Linked DNA regions of Callithrix jacchus. The protein of the gene in region 2 interacts with the protein of the main gene of each other region in a pairwise test. Links are inferred from orthologs where the notes say so. Each region holds a gene or a part of one and is shown on either strand. Other genes may lie near its edges.

Region 1 (8,382 bases), on a different chromosome or scaffold from region 2:
CTTAAGTCTCAGCTCACAGATCACCTCCATGAAGCCTTCCTGGACTTCCCCCAAGCCTAGTTAGATGTTCTTCTGGGACCCCTGTGAGATGACAGTGTGGGGTACAGATTAAGATCAGGGTCTGGAATGACAGTGCTTGGTTCATAAGCCCAGCTTATCTACTTAATAGCTACTTTGAGAAAGTCTGTGCCTCAGTTTCCTCACCTGTAAAATGGAATTTCAAAATAATACTGTTCCTGTAGATTATTAGATTAAATCTCATGGATAGGAATATGAGGCCCAGAGAAGTGAAACCTAGCAAATAAGTGGCAGGGCTGAGACTAGATTCCAGGTCTCCTGGCTCCTATCAAGGTTGCTGTGCCCAGGGTGTACCCACAGAAAGGCATAGGTTGGGGTTGAGGGAGAAAGGGAGGCTGGCAGGTGCTCAGGGGTGTGACCCAATCAGCCTTAAGGAAGGGACACCTTTCTTTAATTAGTCTCCCCAGAAGAGGTACCTTGTTCTCATAGCCCTTCCTTGGGGAGATGGAACAGCATTTATCAATTAATCAGCCCTGAACACTTCTTTCTGCAATGTGTCCACCTGCAGGAGCACCTCTTCCTAATTTGCACAAAGGCACCTCATGTACCAGGGACAGCCTTGATCCCTGGGCTGCTCCTCTTCTCACTTGGCGTCAGGTCCTGGGGTCCAGGTCCAGCCCATGCTGAAATCCGAGGGGAGTGGGTAGATGGGCAGAAAGAACATTCGGGAGCTATAGGCAGGTGAATATGGTTTTATTCAGTGACCGCTCTCATCAGCAGCTTACTCGCACTAGCTCTCTCACGCGGTCTACCCTGTCTCAGCCGCTTGAGCCTGCGGCTCCCACACACAGCTGTGCAGCCGACTCTCCCTTGCCTTCAGGGTCAGCAGCTTAACTCTTTCTCTCTCTGGGCACAGGCAAGCTGAGCTGTGTCCTGGCTCCCTCCTGTCCATTTGCAAGATGGACAGCTTTGGCTCTCTCTCTGGGCACCAGCGCACCTGCCATGTCAAGCCATGTTGAGCCGAGCCGAGCTCCAAGAGCCCCCCTATCTAGTGTTAGCACAACAAGTATACCTTTTACAGACAACAGTGGCTCAGAGCCAAGTATGAATTTACACAAAAAGGTTATATAACAAGTAGAGGTGTGCACCCGTGCACCAAACCCAATGAGTCATGCAGGCCTGGATACCCATCTCCGCCTATTCCTTGACCAAAGCTCATCCATGTACCTTACTGAAGTAGGGCTGACAGATGAAATACAGGACAGCCAGCTAAATTTGAATTTCAGGTGAACCACAAATCATTGTGTAGGATAAGCATGTTCCATGCAATTCTGGGGACATACTTAGCCTTAAAAATTTATTTTATGTATCTAAAATTCAATGAACTGGGCAGTCTGTATTTTTATTTGCTAAATCTGCTGACCTTAGTCTAGAGGAAGTGTTGTATTCCAGCTGACTCAGATCACCTCATGAGAGTCAACTGTAAAATGTTTAGGAGATTTATGAGCAGGTCATTAAACCACTGGTCGCTTGAAACCAACCATTGTGGGAGCGTTTACACCACAGAAATCGGTGACTGCTATACCTGAGTGCTCTTCCTTTATGGAGTTGGTTATGAAACAGTCCCCAATATGCCACTGTCTAGAGGTTTCCTTGTCCTTAACATACTAGGCAGACTCTGAAACCACAGCCCTGGGGGCTCCACAGTCACACAGGAGTCAGATCACATCTAAGGTAGCTGTAAGCCTTAGTATATTAGAAAATGGAAAATTCCACTCCTGGGATACTAGAATGAGGAATGTTAGAAACTTAGAATTCTAAAACAAGGATGTTAGAATCTCAGAATTTCAGAAGATGGATTGTTAGTGTTGAAAGCAGGGGCTGTTAGTATCCATTCCTCACCCCTCTCTGGCATACAGATGGTCAAGGCCTCACAGCCTGGCCAGACCTCTGGCTGGCCCTCCTGGCTCAGGGCTTCTTGCAAGCCACAATGAAGCAGACTCCAGTGTTGGCAGCACTGGTGACAGAGTAGCTCCGGAGACTATATAGGAGCTGCTCGATGTCAAAGCCAGCATCCAGGACAGCGTGCTCCACCTCCTCCTTCTCCAGGGCCAAGCAGGAGAATTCACGCTTCCCCACCATGTAGGACGAGAGCCGAAGCGTGACCATGGTCACCAAGTGGCCGCCCGGCTTGAGCAGTGAGGCAAGGTTGCAAAGTGCAGCACGGTAGGCATCAAGGCTGCAGCAGGCACACTCCATGGCCAGAAGGGTGAGCAGGCAGTCAGCAGGGGGCAACACAGCTGGGGCCAGTGGGTTGCCCAGGTGGACATCACATTTGAGCACCCGCTTCACCACTGCTCGCAGCTTCTCCTCTTTCTCCTGCCATCGGCCACTGCAGAGAGAGAGGGAGGGAGTCGGGGAGGCACTTCAAGGTTCCAAAGGGAACCTTGACTAGTCCACTGCGACTAGCAGATGGAGATGATCTCTGAATCCCAAAAGGACTGCTGTCCCTGAGTCCCTGTGTGACCTGACAGCAGGCTCTTCTTCGATCTGATCCTCAGTTTCTTCCAAAGAAAACTGGTTACCAAGAGTGGACCAGAACAATTAAAGGAAATTTTCTCTCTCTGATTTCATGTGAGCCCCCTTCCCTTAATCCCCAGAAGGGTCAAAACCACCCCAAGCACAGATGGGTCAGTTAACAAACACTATTGGATGGATGGATGAATTAATGAATTTCTACAGAAAATACATGAATATAGCGATCTTAAAAATATAATGTTGAGTGATGAAAAGCAAATCCCAGATGACACAGGGCAAATTATTCTGCTACAAAGCTCAAAGGTGACTAAAACTAAATAATAGACTATTTAGATATACATAAGTATGCAAGAAAAAAATTGTTTGAAAAAGGGAATAAGTATAAAATTCATATTAGTGATTACCTCAGATGGCAAAAGGCAGGGGCAAGGAGTCACAGAGAAGCACAGGTAAGTCTTTATTATATCCGAGTACTCAGGTTGGGTGGTGGGTTCACATCATTATATGTCATATAGTCACACAGGTACAGACAATAGAGGGAAGAAGGAAGAATGGATGGGTGGGTGGATGGATTAATTTGCATGGACATGGATGGATAAATGGGTGGATGGATAGATGGATATGGATGGATGGAGATGGATGGATAGATGGATGGATGGATATGAATAAATGGATGGATGGATGGATGAATGGATGAATGGATGGGCAGGTAGATTGACAGATATGGATAGGTGGGTGGGTGGATGGATGATGGATGGAGATGGATGGATGAATGGACAAATGGATGGATGGGCGAATAGCTGCCTGGCTGGCTGGGTGAATGGATGGATTGGTGGGTGGGTGCATAGATGGATGGATATGGATGGATAGTTAGATATATACAAGATAGGTAGGTATATAGATTAGGGAAAGGAAGAAAGAGAAGAAGGAAGGAAGGGTTCTATCACCTGGTCTTCAGTGCTCATACTTGGCTATATCATACCTCAACATAGTCCTATGATCAGAGACTTGCCCCTGAAACTCCTGTAATCCTGAAACTTGGGGGCCCATCTACTCTGTCCCCACAGCAAGACCTCTGGTCATATACATGAAGGCCCTACTGTCCTGAAAATGTCAGAGACAACCAAGAGGCCAGACAGCCCTCTGAGAAAGAAGGTCTGGGAACCCCTCCCCAACCTCTGCACCCCTACCTGTTTCCTTCGAGCTCACAGGCAAATTTCACCACTGGGGTCCAGTCATAGGCCCCCGGCTCCTTCTTCAGCCATTTTTCCAGCTCCTCCCGGTTACGGTCGGTAAAGTCAGAGAGAGTGATGTCTTGGAAGGACTCACAGGCTGCGAGAACTTGGTAGATGGTAGGACCTGAGCCGATGTCAATCAGCGTGTCCCCTTGGAGGCCTCCTGTGGGAAGGAAAGACTGGTAAGGGATGGGTAAGAGAAATGAGACCCGAGACAGACACAGGGATGAGGACACACACCCTGGTCTTACCCAAGGGGCAAGCAGCACCAAGAATGGTCATTATCACAGATTGGTGGCTTCCTGTAGGCCAAGCCTCATGCTAAACATTTTATATGCATTTATTTCCATTTACACCTCAGAACTACCCTGTGTAGTAACTACTATCACTATTTTCATTTTATAAATTAGAAAACTGAGTCTGAAAAGGGTTAAACAATTTGCCCAATATCTTTCAGCCAAGAATATAAGCCAAGAGTATAATCTTTCTGGGACAGAGAAAAGAGACCCAAGCCCTGCTCTAGAGAAGATTCGGGCTGGAGAGATTAGAGAGGACATGCTGGGGGCAGTGGCCCTTTAAGTTTCAGGCTGACTGGGAGCTAGGAGCATCCCCGGGAAGTCCAGCCCTGCCTGGATGGGTTTCTCATTCCTTGGAGGTGGGAGGGGTGTAAGAGCACAGGAATAGGAAGCAGGAGGCTGAGAAGGAGACGATCTGGGAAGATGGCCTCAGGAGTAAATCCAGGGTCACCTGGAAGCTGGAACGAAGCATGATTTCCAACATTCTGTCTGGAGCCCTGGCGTGGGGCCATCACTTGGCCTTCCAGGCTTGATCACACCCAGTCTGGCTGTTCTCTGATTTCTGCCTCCCACACTGGCCTGCTCCTCTAGGCTCAGCAACATTTTAACCCTCCTTATCCCACAGACCACCAGGAGACTCACCCTTACTGTTACCCATTCAAGTGCCTGAAGTGAGGACATGGCTGCTTGAGCTTGGAAGACACACCAAATCATGGGGTCACCGTGGGGAGGGAAGAGATCACCAGGAGACAGGTAGAAGTCACCATCCATTGTACAGATGTCTCAGTTTAGGTCCTTGGGACCTGAGGGCTTTGCAGTCAGGTTTGTAATAGGGTTGAGACCCCATGTAACAATCCTTGTCCCAGGGCAGGGCTTTTCCAGGTCCTCATCACAGCCACATCTGGGCTGCACACTATAGGAATAGGCAATCCTGACCTAACCCACTACAGTCCTGCTGTTTGCCCCTGGCCTTCTGGGGGCCCCAGAGGGCTGGCTATGTAAGGGCAGGGCTGAACTTGATGATGACCTGGAAACCCTTTTCTGCTCCACCCCAAAGACCTAGGGGCTAATGGAGAACAGTGTGGGAACTGCATGGGCTGTGCTCTTCCCATGGATCCTGATCCCTCAGCTGGCACACAGCTCCTGAGCCATGGGGAAACAGACCCAACCTCCAGCATAGCAGCTACCCAAAGAGAGGGACAGGTCCCCAGCAGCTCCCCCAGCCCACCCCCAGCAACCTCTAGAGGAGACCAGACTGCCCCCAGGACCCCTTGTCCCCATCCGCATCCAGGTTTCTTGGAGAGAGGCTCAAGGGGAAAAGCCACCCTCTGCTCACCAGGGCCGAAGGTCTTGTGGAGACACTCCAAGTAAAACTTCAGCATCTCGATCTCAGGCAAGTGGCTGCCATCGACGCTATAGTAAGTGGCCAAGTAGTCCCTGGGCAGGAAGTGCTTCTGATACTCATCACCTCCCGTGAAGCCGCCCTCCATGGTGGCCCTGAAATATGCCCCCTCCTGCCTGTCCGGTCTTATGAGGGCTCCAAGCTCTCCAGGCTCCACCTCCAACATTCCAGCCTCATCCCATCACTCCTCCCATGTATGTCTCTCAAGCTTCTCCTTCTAGGAGGATACAGAAGGGAGTGCATCCCTCACCACCTCCCAGCCACACTGACACACCTGAGCTGGGGCTGCAGCCGCCCTGGCCCTGCTTTCTCTAGGGACCAACCCATGTCCATCAAAGGCAATTGATGGTGCCCAGCCCTGGGTGCAACTCTCAGTCCTGCCAGCCACATGCTGCTGTGTGGCCTCCAGCAGGTGTCAGACCCACGTTTCCCCACCTATGTGCCCACTTCACTGACTGTGAGAACCAAAGCCACTCCCCCAGTCACAGGTATTGTGACCTGAGTACATAGTGAGATCCCCAGCTTGTCCCCTGGTGGTCAGTGGCCCAGTGGCTCTCTCTAGGCCAGGCAGGCACAGTGAGATCCCCAGCTTGTCCCCTGGTGGTCAGTGGCCCAGTGGCTCTCTCTAGGCCAGGCAGGCACAGTGAGATCCCCAGCTTATGCCCTGGTGGTCAGTGGCCCAGTGGCTCTCTCTAGGCCAGGCAGGCACAGTGAGATCCCCAGCTTGTCCCCTGGTGGTCAGTGGCCCAGTGGCTCTCTCTAGGCCAGGCAGGCACAGTGAGATCCCCAGCTTATCCCCTGGTGGTCAGTGGCCCAGTGGCTCTCTCTAGGCCAGGCAGGCACAGTGAGATCCCCAGCTTGTCCCCTGGTGGTCAGTGGCCCAGTGGCTCTCTCTAGGCCAGGCAGGCACAGTGAGATCCCCAGCTTGTCCCCTGGTGGTCAGTGGCCCAGTGGCTCTCTCTAGGCCAGGCAGGCACAGTGAGATCCCCAGCTTGTCCCCTGGTGGTCAGTGGACCAGTGGCTCTCTCTAGGCCAGGCAGGCACAGTGAGATCCCCAGCTTGTCCCCCGGTGGTCAGTGGACCAGTGGCTCTCTCTAGGCCAGGCAGTAGGTACAGCTTCATACATCCCCCATCCCTCCTGGAGAACAGAGTTCAGACCCCAGGAGGCAGAGCAGAATAGCTGACTTGGCATCACTGTGCAGGCCACTGGGAGAAGAGCAGAAATTATCATCCATCTCCATGAATGAGAACAAGGGCGCCCGGTCATAAAGCATAAACTATCAGGGGGATCCTGACTTCTTGGCTGCTGACTCACCTGGTAAGTTCAGGTAAGATACTGCTGGCTTCAGTCTCCTTCTCTTAGAAATGGGGCTGGGTTGTAAAATCTCCCACAGACAGAGAAAAGCTCAGTCTCTGTTTTTTGCACTAGGAAATGGCTCTGACTTGGCCACAAACCAGATAGAAATGAATCTGCTACAGTGGAGGTTCAGGCCTCTTGCCCTGAAAGTGGGAAGGACAGGAATGCCTTGTTCTGGCTTTAAGTAAACAAATAATTCTGAATCCACAGGGCCCAAAAGACAGAGGATGCCACAGAGGCAGGAACATCCAGCAGTCATCTGGGGTCTGGCTTCCAAGGAGCAGGCGCCTGGGCAGCCTCCAGGGAGGCCTGCGGCCAACATGCTGGCCTGCAGAAGGCACTCAGAGCAGGCAGGAAACTGCAGTGCTCGCGTTACATAATTGGAGGAGTATGCAGTAAAGGCACAGTACTAACTAAGGTGTGGACAGGGTGGAAGGAAGCCACATGATACCTCTATTAGTCAGGGTTCTCCAGAGAAACAGAGCCCAGGATGTGTACACTTACACTGAGAGAAATCAAATCTATTTTCAGGAATTGGCTCGTGTAATCTTGGAGGCCAGTAAGTCCAAAATCTGAAAGCCAATGTTGCAGTTCAAGTCCAAAGACCAGCTGCTGCCAGAATTCCCTCTTGCTCAGGGAAGGCCAGTCTTGTTCTAATTGAGCCATCAGCTGATTGGATGAGGCCCACCCATATTATGGAGGGCAGTCTGCTTTACTCAAAGTCCACTGATTTAAATGTGAATCTCATCCAAAAGCACCCTCAAACAAACAGCCAGGATCATGACTGACCACCTGTCTAGGCACCAAGGCCTAGCCACGTTGAGTCACAGAAGGCACCATCACAGAACCTGAGGGCTCACAGCATGGAGGAGCCATCATCCCAGCAAGACTGAGAGAGAGACAGAGCTGTGTAGAGAGGGCCTCCTGCAGCAGCCAACAGCAAAGGGGCTGATATGGTTTGGTTGTATCCCCACCCAAATCTCATCTTGAATTGTACCTCCCACAGTTCCCATGGGTTGTGGGAGGGGCCAGGTAGGAATAATTGAACCGTGGGGGCAGGTCTTTCCCATGCTGTTCTCATGAGAGTGAATAAGTCTTGTGCTATCTGATGGTTTTCTAAGGGGGAGTTTCCCTGCACAAGCTCTCTTTTCACCTGTTGCCATCCATGTAAGACGTGACTTGCTCCTCCTTGCCTTCAGTCATGATTGTGAGGCCTCCCCAGCCATGTGGAACAGTGAGTCCATTAAACCTTCTTCCTGCATAAAGTACCCAGTCTTGGGTATGTCTTTATTAGCAGTATGAAAAACAACTAATACAGTAGCTGAAGAATAATCACCCAAACCTCCTTCTCTTACCTCCCTCCAATAACCTGCCAAATTTACAAGGAAGGGAGTGGTGACTATAGTCCACATGTTAGCCTCCTGGCACTTGAAGTAGCCTGGAGAGGATATAGAGCAGATAATGGAAGCACATGGAAGAAGCCCAGCATTAACACTGAAGGGGCTGAACCATAGACATGCATGTACTATCCAGGAT
Region 2 (7,423 bases):
AGCACAACTCTAAAGCCACTGCTCTTAACTAGGATTGTCAGGAAAGCAAGATTATTTCAGACAGAACAGTATTGTATATGAACAAGGGTGAGAGCAAATTTAGGAATGGTTACTAGACCGCTGTAGCTGACCCACAAACCTGGGGAGAAGTGATAATAGAGGTAGGTAAGATCAGGAAGGTACAGTGGGCCCAGAGCTCCATGGATCTAATGTCATGTTAAAGAATTTAACATTTATAATATGAACAATGGGAATCTGGCATTTTAGGCCAGAAATAACTGTTCAATATTTACTGTCTGCTGTAGGTTAAGTACTTCTGTGCTTCAGAAAGATAACCTATGACTAAATGGAGAGGCTAGATTGAAGAGAGGAATAAAGGTAAGGGTATTAAGTGGCTGTTACCTTAGGGTCTAGCTGAGAAAGGCCATGAACCTAGCAGAGGGAATGAAGATAGGGGAATGGACTTGGAACAATTAAAATTGCACAGAACTTAGAAACTAGCTGGAAGTCTGTATTGTGATGGGGGTGACACAAAGCAACTGCTGGTTTTCCTAGGTTAGATAACTAAGTAGCTTGTTGCCAGTGGTGGGAGCTTAAAAAAATTAACATGTTGGCCGAGTGCGGTGGCTCATACCTGTAATCCCAGCACTTTGGGAGGCCAAGGAGGGTGGATCATGAGGTCGAGAGATTGAGACCATCCAGGCCAACATAGTGAAACTCCATTTCTACTAAAAATACAAAAAATTAGCCAGGTGTGGCGATGCACACCTGTAGTCCTAGCTACTTGGGAGGCTGAGGCAGGAGAATCGCTTGTACCTGGGAGGCAGAGGTTGCAGTGAACCAAGATCACACCACTGCACTCCAGCCTAGCTACAGAACGAGACTCCGTCTCCAAAAAAAAAAATTTAAGATAACCCACCAAATTAGGGGTATCTCTGTGGATGTATGTGAGCACATGAAAGTGTGTATGATTGTGAAAAGAGTGAAAAAGGAGCTATTCAGTTTTATGTGTTGATTTTTCTGTAGAAGATTCAGTGGCTGCAGTGTATGAACTATTTGTGACATTGGTCTGAAACTAATTTGTCAGCACCAAAGACAGCATAAGAGCCATCAGTCCTTCAGCCTCTCCTGGATCTCTTTTTGAGATAGGAAGAGCCACATGTTTTATAGGCTGTGGTTTAATTAGCAGGCGCAATCCATCTGCCAAAGTTGGCAGGCATCTTTAGGGAAAATAACTTCCTCCTGTGGCTTCTCCTTCCTTCTGTTCTGGAAGCATCAGGATTGTTGCAGTTTTGCAGGCCTTCTGCATAGCTGTTAATATCACATGCCATCATTCAAAGCAAATGGAAAAAAGGCCTGGCATGACTGAAACCCTAAAATTGAAGTGGATGCTAAGTGAATTCAAGACATCTCTTCTTTACTCCTTTGGTTTTCAAGTAACTCCAAGCATGAGAGGGGCTAATGAATACGGCAAATCAGGTAAATATTTTACTGATGAGAATCTCCATAGTGTAAAGTGGCTGCCTCTTACCTGTGTCTAACAGAGAAATAGCAGAACTAGTTGGCAAACACACAAGATGAACAGGCTGACGACACAGGGGTCACAGCTGAACCCTAAGTATCTGCTAAAGGCAATGCTGGTTAACCACAAACTCTCAGCATTTGAGACTGTTAATTTTTAATATTTTCTTAAAAAAATACAAAGGAAATTAACTCTGTAGGTCAATACGATTCAGGGAAAAAGGGAAAAATGGAATTTCAGAGCAAAGGTTGTTTATCACATTCCCACACTCCCATAAAATTTCAATATCCATAAAACAAGAATTTCATTCCATGACATAGAGCAACATTAAATAATAGCTCAGAAATGTTGATAGCTGAGGTACTGAAACTGACAAAAGGATTTTGGTTGTCCTTGATTATTCTGTCCTGTGATGAATAAAATCTACACTAAAGGACAGACAAGGGAAACTTATAGCAGAAAAAAGACTAAATGTACCAAACACAGCAGTACAAACCACTCCTTGGCAGAAGTGTACTCCTAAAAGAATGGGCAGTAATCAGGTAGCTAAACTACTGGGCTACTGTCACTCCCAGCCCATCCCCAAATAAATAGTGTGGAAGTGTAACAGTGTAGTAGTATTTGATTCAACAAAGAAAGGCTTTCACCCCCATTCAAGGCAAACATTGCCATGGCTAGATGAGCCCTGGCAGGGAATAAGACCGTAGAATCACAGGTACTTCTAGTTTATCCCCAGTTATACTGAACTTGCACATTGATGCCATCTTCTCTCATCCCAACATTTGTTCACTGTTATGCTGCCTCCAGTGCTAAAATGTGTAACATTCTACTTCAGAAAGACCTTGGGGAAATAAAAAGATCCTTCAAATGATATACCCTTCTCAGTCTTCCAGATTATGTAATACTTCAGTGCTGTTCTAGGTTCACTCACAATCCATCAAATTCAGTTGATTCACTTATTCTAACTTAAATTCTGATATACCAACCATATCCCCCACAAGAAGTGTCCGATGAGTCTCTCTCCCTTGCCCCCAAAGTTTTATGGGGCTCTCCCTTCTGTTTCCTTCTAGAATGGAACTGTGTTGCCTCCAGCTACCTGTAGATTAGAAAAGGTATCTTTTCTTGGAAAAAAAAAAAAAAAGACTTGGATTTTACCAAGTTTACTTAAACTGGTACCTTTCCAATCATCTAGGCTGGATATTGCCCACATCTAGTAGGCTATACTCACCTTCGTTCTCTGCAACATATGAGGCACAACATACATATAGTACACTGAGCATGTGGTAAGTTAGAAACGAAAGGAAAGTGCTCCCCAAGGCAGTGGGAGAGGCGATCTGGTCTCTCACATCCATTCAATCTGCATTCTTTTCCCTGGAGTATCTGCTGGCCACCCTTCTCAGGAACAATAACCAGGACAAGGCGGAATATATGTCAAATAAGTACAATCATCACTGCACTGGTGCCTGTAATCACCCTGTTCATAGTGAGAAACAGACATTCTGGAAAGGATTCTTGATTCTCCCACTAACTGTCCACCAGACTGGTCACTAGTTCTGGATGGTGCTCCAACAATGGTCACTTCTCACGGAGAACACACACACCAGCATCACAGCGCTGGGTTCCCATGGATGTCACGACTTCCCAGCTGTCGATGATAGGGTCATAACATTCAATACTACTTAGCAGGGAATTACCATCATATCTGAGTGAGAAAGCAGCAAAAGAAAAAAATGAATCAGCTATGTGCAGTGGCACATGCCTTTAATCCCAACTATGAGGGAGGCTGAGGTAAGAGGACTGCTTAAGCCTAGGAGGGAATTTGAGACCAGCCTGGGCAAAATGGTAAGACCCTGTCTCAATTAAATTTAAAGAAAGAAATTAGCCTTCTATTCTTTTCCACACGAGTTCTTCCTTAAGGCTGCCACTGGAGGCCAGCATGGTGACTCACGCCTGTAATCCTAACACTTTGGGAGGCTGAGGTGGGAGGATTGCTTGAAATCAGCCTAGACAACATAAAAAACTAGCCTGGTACAGTGGCATGCACCCGTGGTCCCAGCTACTCTACTCAGACTCCAGCCTGGGTGACAGAGAAAGACTCTGTCTCTAAAAAAAAAAAAAAAATCTAATTTAAAAAAATCAAGTTGCTACTGGAGATGTCTACCCCTACCCAAATGTTGTCTCCATCCAAAAATAAGGATCAGATCACACAGACTGTTGCTCTGGTTACATACTGAGTCTGGAGTTGTTTAAATCCTCACCCTGCAATTGCATAAAGTCTCCCCCGAAGCACTGTGGCCCCTACATAGCATCGTGGAGTGGTCATACTGGTGACAGTTGTCCAGGAATCAGTGCGAATGTTGTATGCTTCAACGGAAGAAAGGTGGGCTGTACCATCAAATCCCCCCACCACATAAATATGGTCATTCAGCAGTGCTACTCCTGCACCTGGGGAAAATGAAGGCATTAGCAAATGAATGGTACTAAGCCTAGAATCTGAGTTATAGAAATAAACTATGGTCACTAATGGCTAGCTGAGTTCTAGAGTAGATAAGAGATATGGACTGGACCTAGACAAGGCTAGGATAATCTAGTCCAGCACAAGTTATTCCATCTATAAACCCTTTGGCTTGGATTTGAAATGATAAAAGATAAATAGAAATTTATCTTTTCTTCTTTACTCTCATTAACTCAGAGCCCCACCCTTCTCAGAAAAGGAGGAAGTGAAAGAAAGGCAGCAATAAAGGTAGATGGAGGGAAAGGAACTGTGATTATGGTTCTGAAGCGATTTTTACTCAGAATATGTAAACTAGAACAGCACAGTGTTTTCTCCTTTTCTACATCTCAGCCTACTCCACTTCAAAAAGCTCTCGTGAAGGTAAGGTGCTACTCTTTTGTTCTTATACATTAGAGACGTTATTTAACAAACATTTATTTAACATGTGCTACACAGACAAAATTGTAGCATTCTAAAACGTAGGGAGAGAACAAAGACATGAAGGCTTTTGCTTTCAAATTTATAATCTAGTTTTAAATATAAACTGTCTTTATCCTAATATTTAGAGAAAGCAGAGACGAGGAGCAGAATCTCATTTTTACATTCATCTACAGTTTGTCCCATGCATCACTACTATATATGTAAAGGTCTGACAGCACTGCCTATTGTCTCCTCCCTCAGATCTGATCTTACCGGAACGCTTGGTGGCCATTGGTGTAACAGTAGTCCAATGTCCTGTATGAGGGTCGTATTTCTCAACTGAATTTAAGATATTCAAGCCATCATATCCTCCTGGAAGACAGAGACCACTGCAGGATGAGTGGTAAATCCTCATGCCTATTCCTGGTCAGCCTTTTTCCGAGTGCTTCAACTAATTATTTTAGTTTTAACTTCCCACTAGAGTCCCAATAACTCTAACAGAAATCTGATAGTATCCTACTTTCTGCTTATAAGAAAATGATAATCCCAATTAATGGAAAATACATTGACACAACAGGGTTTTAGTTGAAGGGAAGTCTATGAACTTCATTCTGCTAAAAAGGAACCCTTACCCACAATCTACTACCCATTGAGTTCTCTCCCATTCCTGCATCGCAGACTCAGGATACCTAGACAGTAGATCACTCCGCTGGCCACTACGAGCCCGGCACCTTCCCGGGCTGTCTGCATATCTCCCAGCATACTCCACTGGTCAATATTTGGATCATAGCGCTCCATACTGGTGTGACGCCTGCTTCCATCAAAGCCTCCAGAGACGTAGATCATATCTGCTCAGAATAAACAAATTACAGACTATTAGAGAATGAGAGATTTCTAGAACTCTTTCCTCTACAAAATTTTCAAGTGTCTTTTAAAAGTCTGAAAGCAAAAACAAAGTATTTTTTAATGAGATAAGTCAATTAAGTTTTACAGACAAGAAAGACATCTAAAAAGAATGGGGTAAATTAAAATCCTCAGAAGCATTCAAAAACCACTTGGGAATTTTCAAAAAATACAACCAGTGCCAGTTCCCCACCCAGCACATTAGAACTTGATTTGCGAACTTTATAGTCAGTACTGAAACATCCATGAAGGTTGAACAGCTTCTATTACACTGATATGTCTGAAAGCAAAAAGAGTATTTGTCGGCTGGGCGCAGCGGCTCACACCTGTAATCTCAGCACCTTGGGAGGCCAAGGCGGGTGAGTCACTTGAGCTCAGGGGTTAGAGATTAGCCTGGGCAACAAGGCGAAACCCTGTCTCTACTAAAAATACATAAAAATAGCTGGGCATGATGGTGCACACCTGTAGTTCCAGCTATTCGGGAAGCTGAGGTGGGAGGATCGCTTGAGCTTGGGGAGGTTGAGGCTGTAGTGAGCCGTGGTCACGCCACTGCACTCCAGCCTGGGCAACAGAGAGAGACCCTGTCTCAAATAATAATAATATTTGACCTCATTTTTTTTCTCCATATTTCATGCTCCTGCCAGAAAACATGAGAGGTTAAAAACCTGGTCCAGCCACAGTAAGATGGAAATATTGCCCTGCTTATCAAGCCTACCTCCCAGGGTGGTGGCTCCAGCAAGACCTCGTCGGACATTCATAGGGGCCACAGAATACCAGACCCCATCCTCATCTGCTGTGTAGTCTAGACATTCCACTGAACTAAGGCGGGAACGGCCATCATAGCCACCAATGACGTAGATCCGGTCATGTAGGGACACTGAGGCCACATAACGTCTCTTACGAGTGATGCTCTATGGATTTGGAGAGAAGAGGTACAGAGCATTTCAGTTAGGTAAGTTTCGGGCCTTTCCTTTTGCTATCTTCCCTGTTGTATCTACACACCTCTGTGCTGCTTCACCTGTCATCATGAACCCTCCTTGAGTGGTTCATCCTCAAGTGGCTCCACCCATGGCTGCCTACTGAAGGAAATGCTTGTTGTGGGTCTCTTAAAGATGTAAGCTTTCTGCACATCTGCCTCTTTCCAAGGTTTCCAAAAGATTTAACAGCTTTCTGTTATCCAGTATCTGACTCCTTTCTTTTCCATAAGGCACTGGGCTAAGAGACTGATATTCTTCCATACAGTGGAAAAGTGTTCCCACATTGCTAATCAAAGGGCCAGGATTTATTATAAAAACCTTAAAAGGTAGGAGGATTGGATTTCCATGTTTTCTCAGAAATTACTATTGTTCATTCAGCACTGAGAGACATGCTGAGGGAGACAGATACAAACTTTTTTTTTCTGAGTTGGGATCTCACTCTGTCACCCAGGTTGGAGTGCGTGGCACAGTCACAGCTCACTGCAACCTTGACTGCTGGGCTCAAGCAATCTTCTATCACAACCTCCCAAGCAGCTAGGACTACAGGCATGCACCACCTGGCTAATTTTTTTGTTTACTTTTTTGCAGAAACAGAGTTCCACCATACTGCCCAGGCTGGTCTTGAACTCCTGGCCTCAAGAGATCGTCCCATCTCAGCCTCCCAAAGTGCTGGGATTATAGGTGTGAGCTACCACGCTCTGTCCAAACTTCTGAGCTCAATTGAACACTGGGTTCAATTCAACACAATTTAACATTGGGTTTACTTTAACAAAACATGACCAATGAAATGTGCTGGGAATTATAAAGACAGCTTAGAAAAGCACCTAACTAGTGGTGGCCATCTGATTTAACCTGACACAGGGCCACTAACATTTCTAAGGTATAATCTTCTAATCTAAACAGTAAAAAAACTGTTTACTGAGTACCTACTATGTGCACAAGACTGCTGTAAGAAACAACCTGTTATTAGGCTTTTCTACTCTTACAGTTGGATTAGCTATGCTCTGGAGCCAGAGACTGAGGAATTTAAGCTCCCTCCCAACAAATGGTTTCACCATTATTTACCGGCAAAAAGCTCCACTCCTGAGTCTTGGGGTCATATTTCTC

The links. The genes of interacting proteins can lie anywhere in the genome.
Region 1: the proteins of KLHL12 (region 2) and INMT interact in binary tests that used the Homo sapiens proteins (3 or more experiments, as listed by UniProt). The two-hybrid records come from large-scale screens. The link is inferred for Callithrix jacchus from reciprocal best matches to the Homo sapiens genes KLHL12 and INMT.

Annotation. Positions count from the first base shown.
Region 1 is NC_133512.1:27,504,472-27,512,853, forward strand, and holds INMT (indolethylamine N-methyltransferase), read right to left. Parts: upstream 5,594-8,382; 5' UTR 5,578-5,593; coding exon 5,424-5,577; intron 3,955-5,423; coding exon 3,747-3,954; intron 2,411-3,746; coding exon 1,987-2,410; 3' UTR 751-1,986; downstream 1-750. UniProt on the Homo sapiens protein: Functions as a thioether S-methyltransferase and is active with a variety of thioethers and the corresponding selenium and tellurium compounds, including 3-methylthiopropionaldehyde, dimethyl selenide, dimethyl telluride, 2-methylthioethylamine, 2-methylthioethanol, methyl-n-propyl sulfide and diethyl sulfide.
Region 2 is NC_133520.1:29,929,761-29,937,183, forward strand, and holds the end of KLHL12 (kelch-like protein 12), read right to left. Parts: coding exon 7,382-7,423; intron 6,251-7,381; coding exon 6,055-6,250; exon of another isoform or gene 5,984-6,054; intron 5,285-5,983; coding exon 5,126-5,284; intron 4,840-5,125; exon of another isoform or gene 4,809-4,839; coding exon 4,710-4,808; exon of another isoform or gene 4,698-4,709; intron 4,398-4,697; exon of another isoform or gene 4,215-4,397; intron 3,968-4,214; coding exon 3,781-3,967; intron 3,225-3,780; coding exon 3,098-3,224; 3' UTR 1,662-3,097; downstream 1-1,661. UniProt on the Homo sapiens protein: Substrate-specific adapter of a BCR (BTB-CUL3-RBX1) E3 ubiquitin ligase complex that acts as a negative regulator of Wnt signaling pathway and ER-Golgi transport.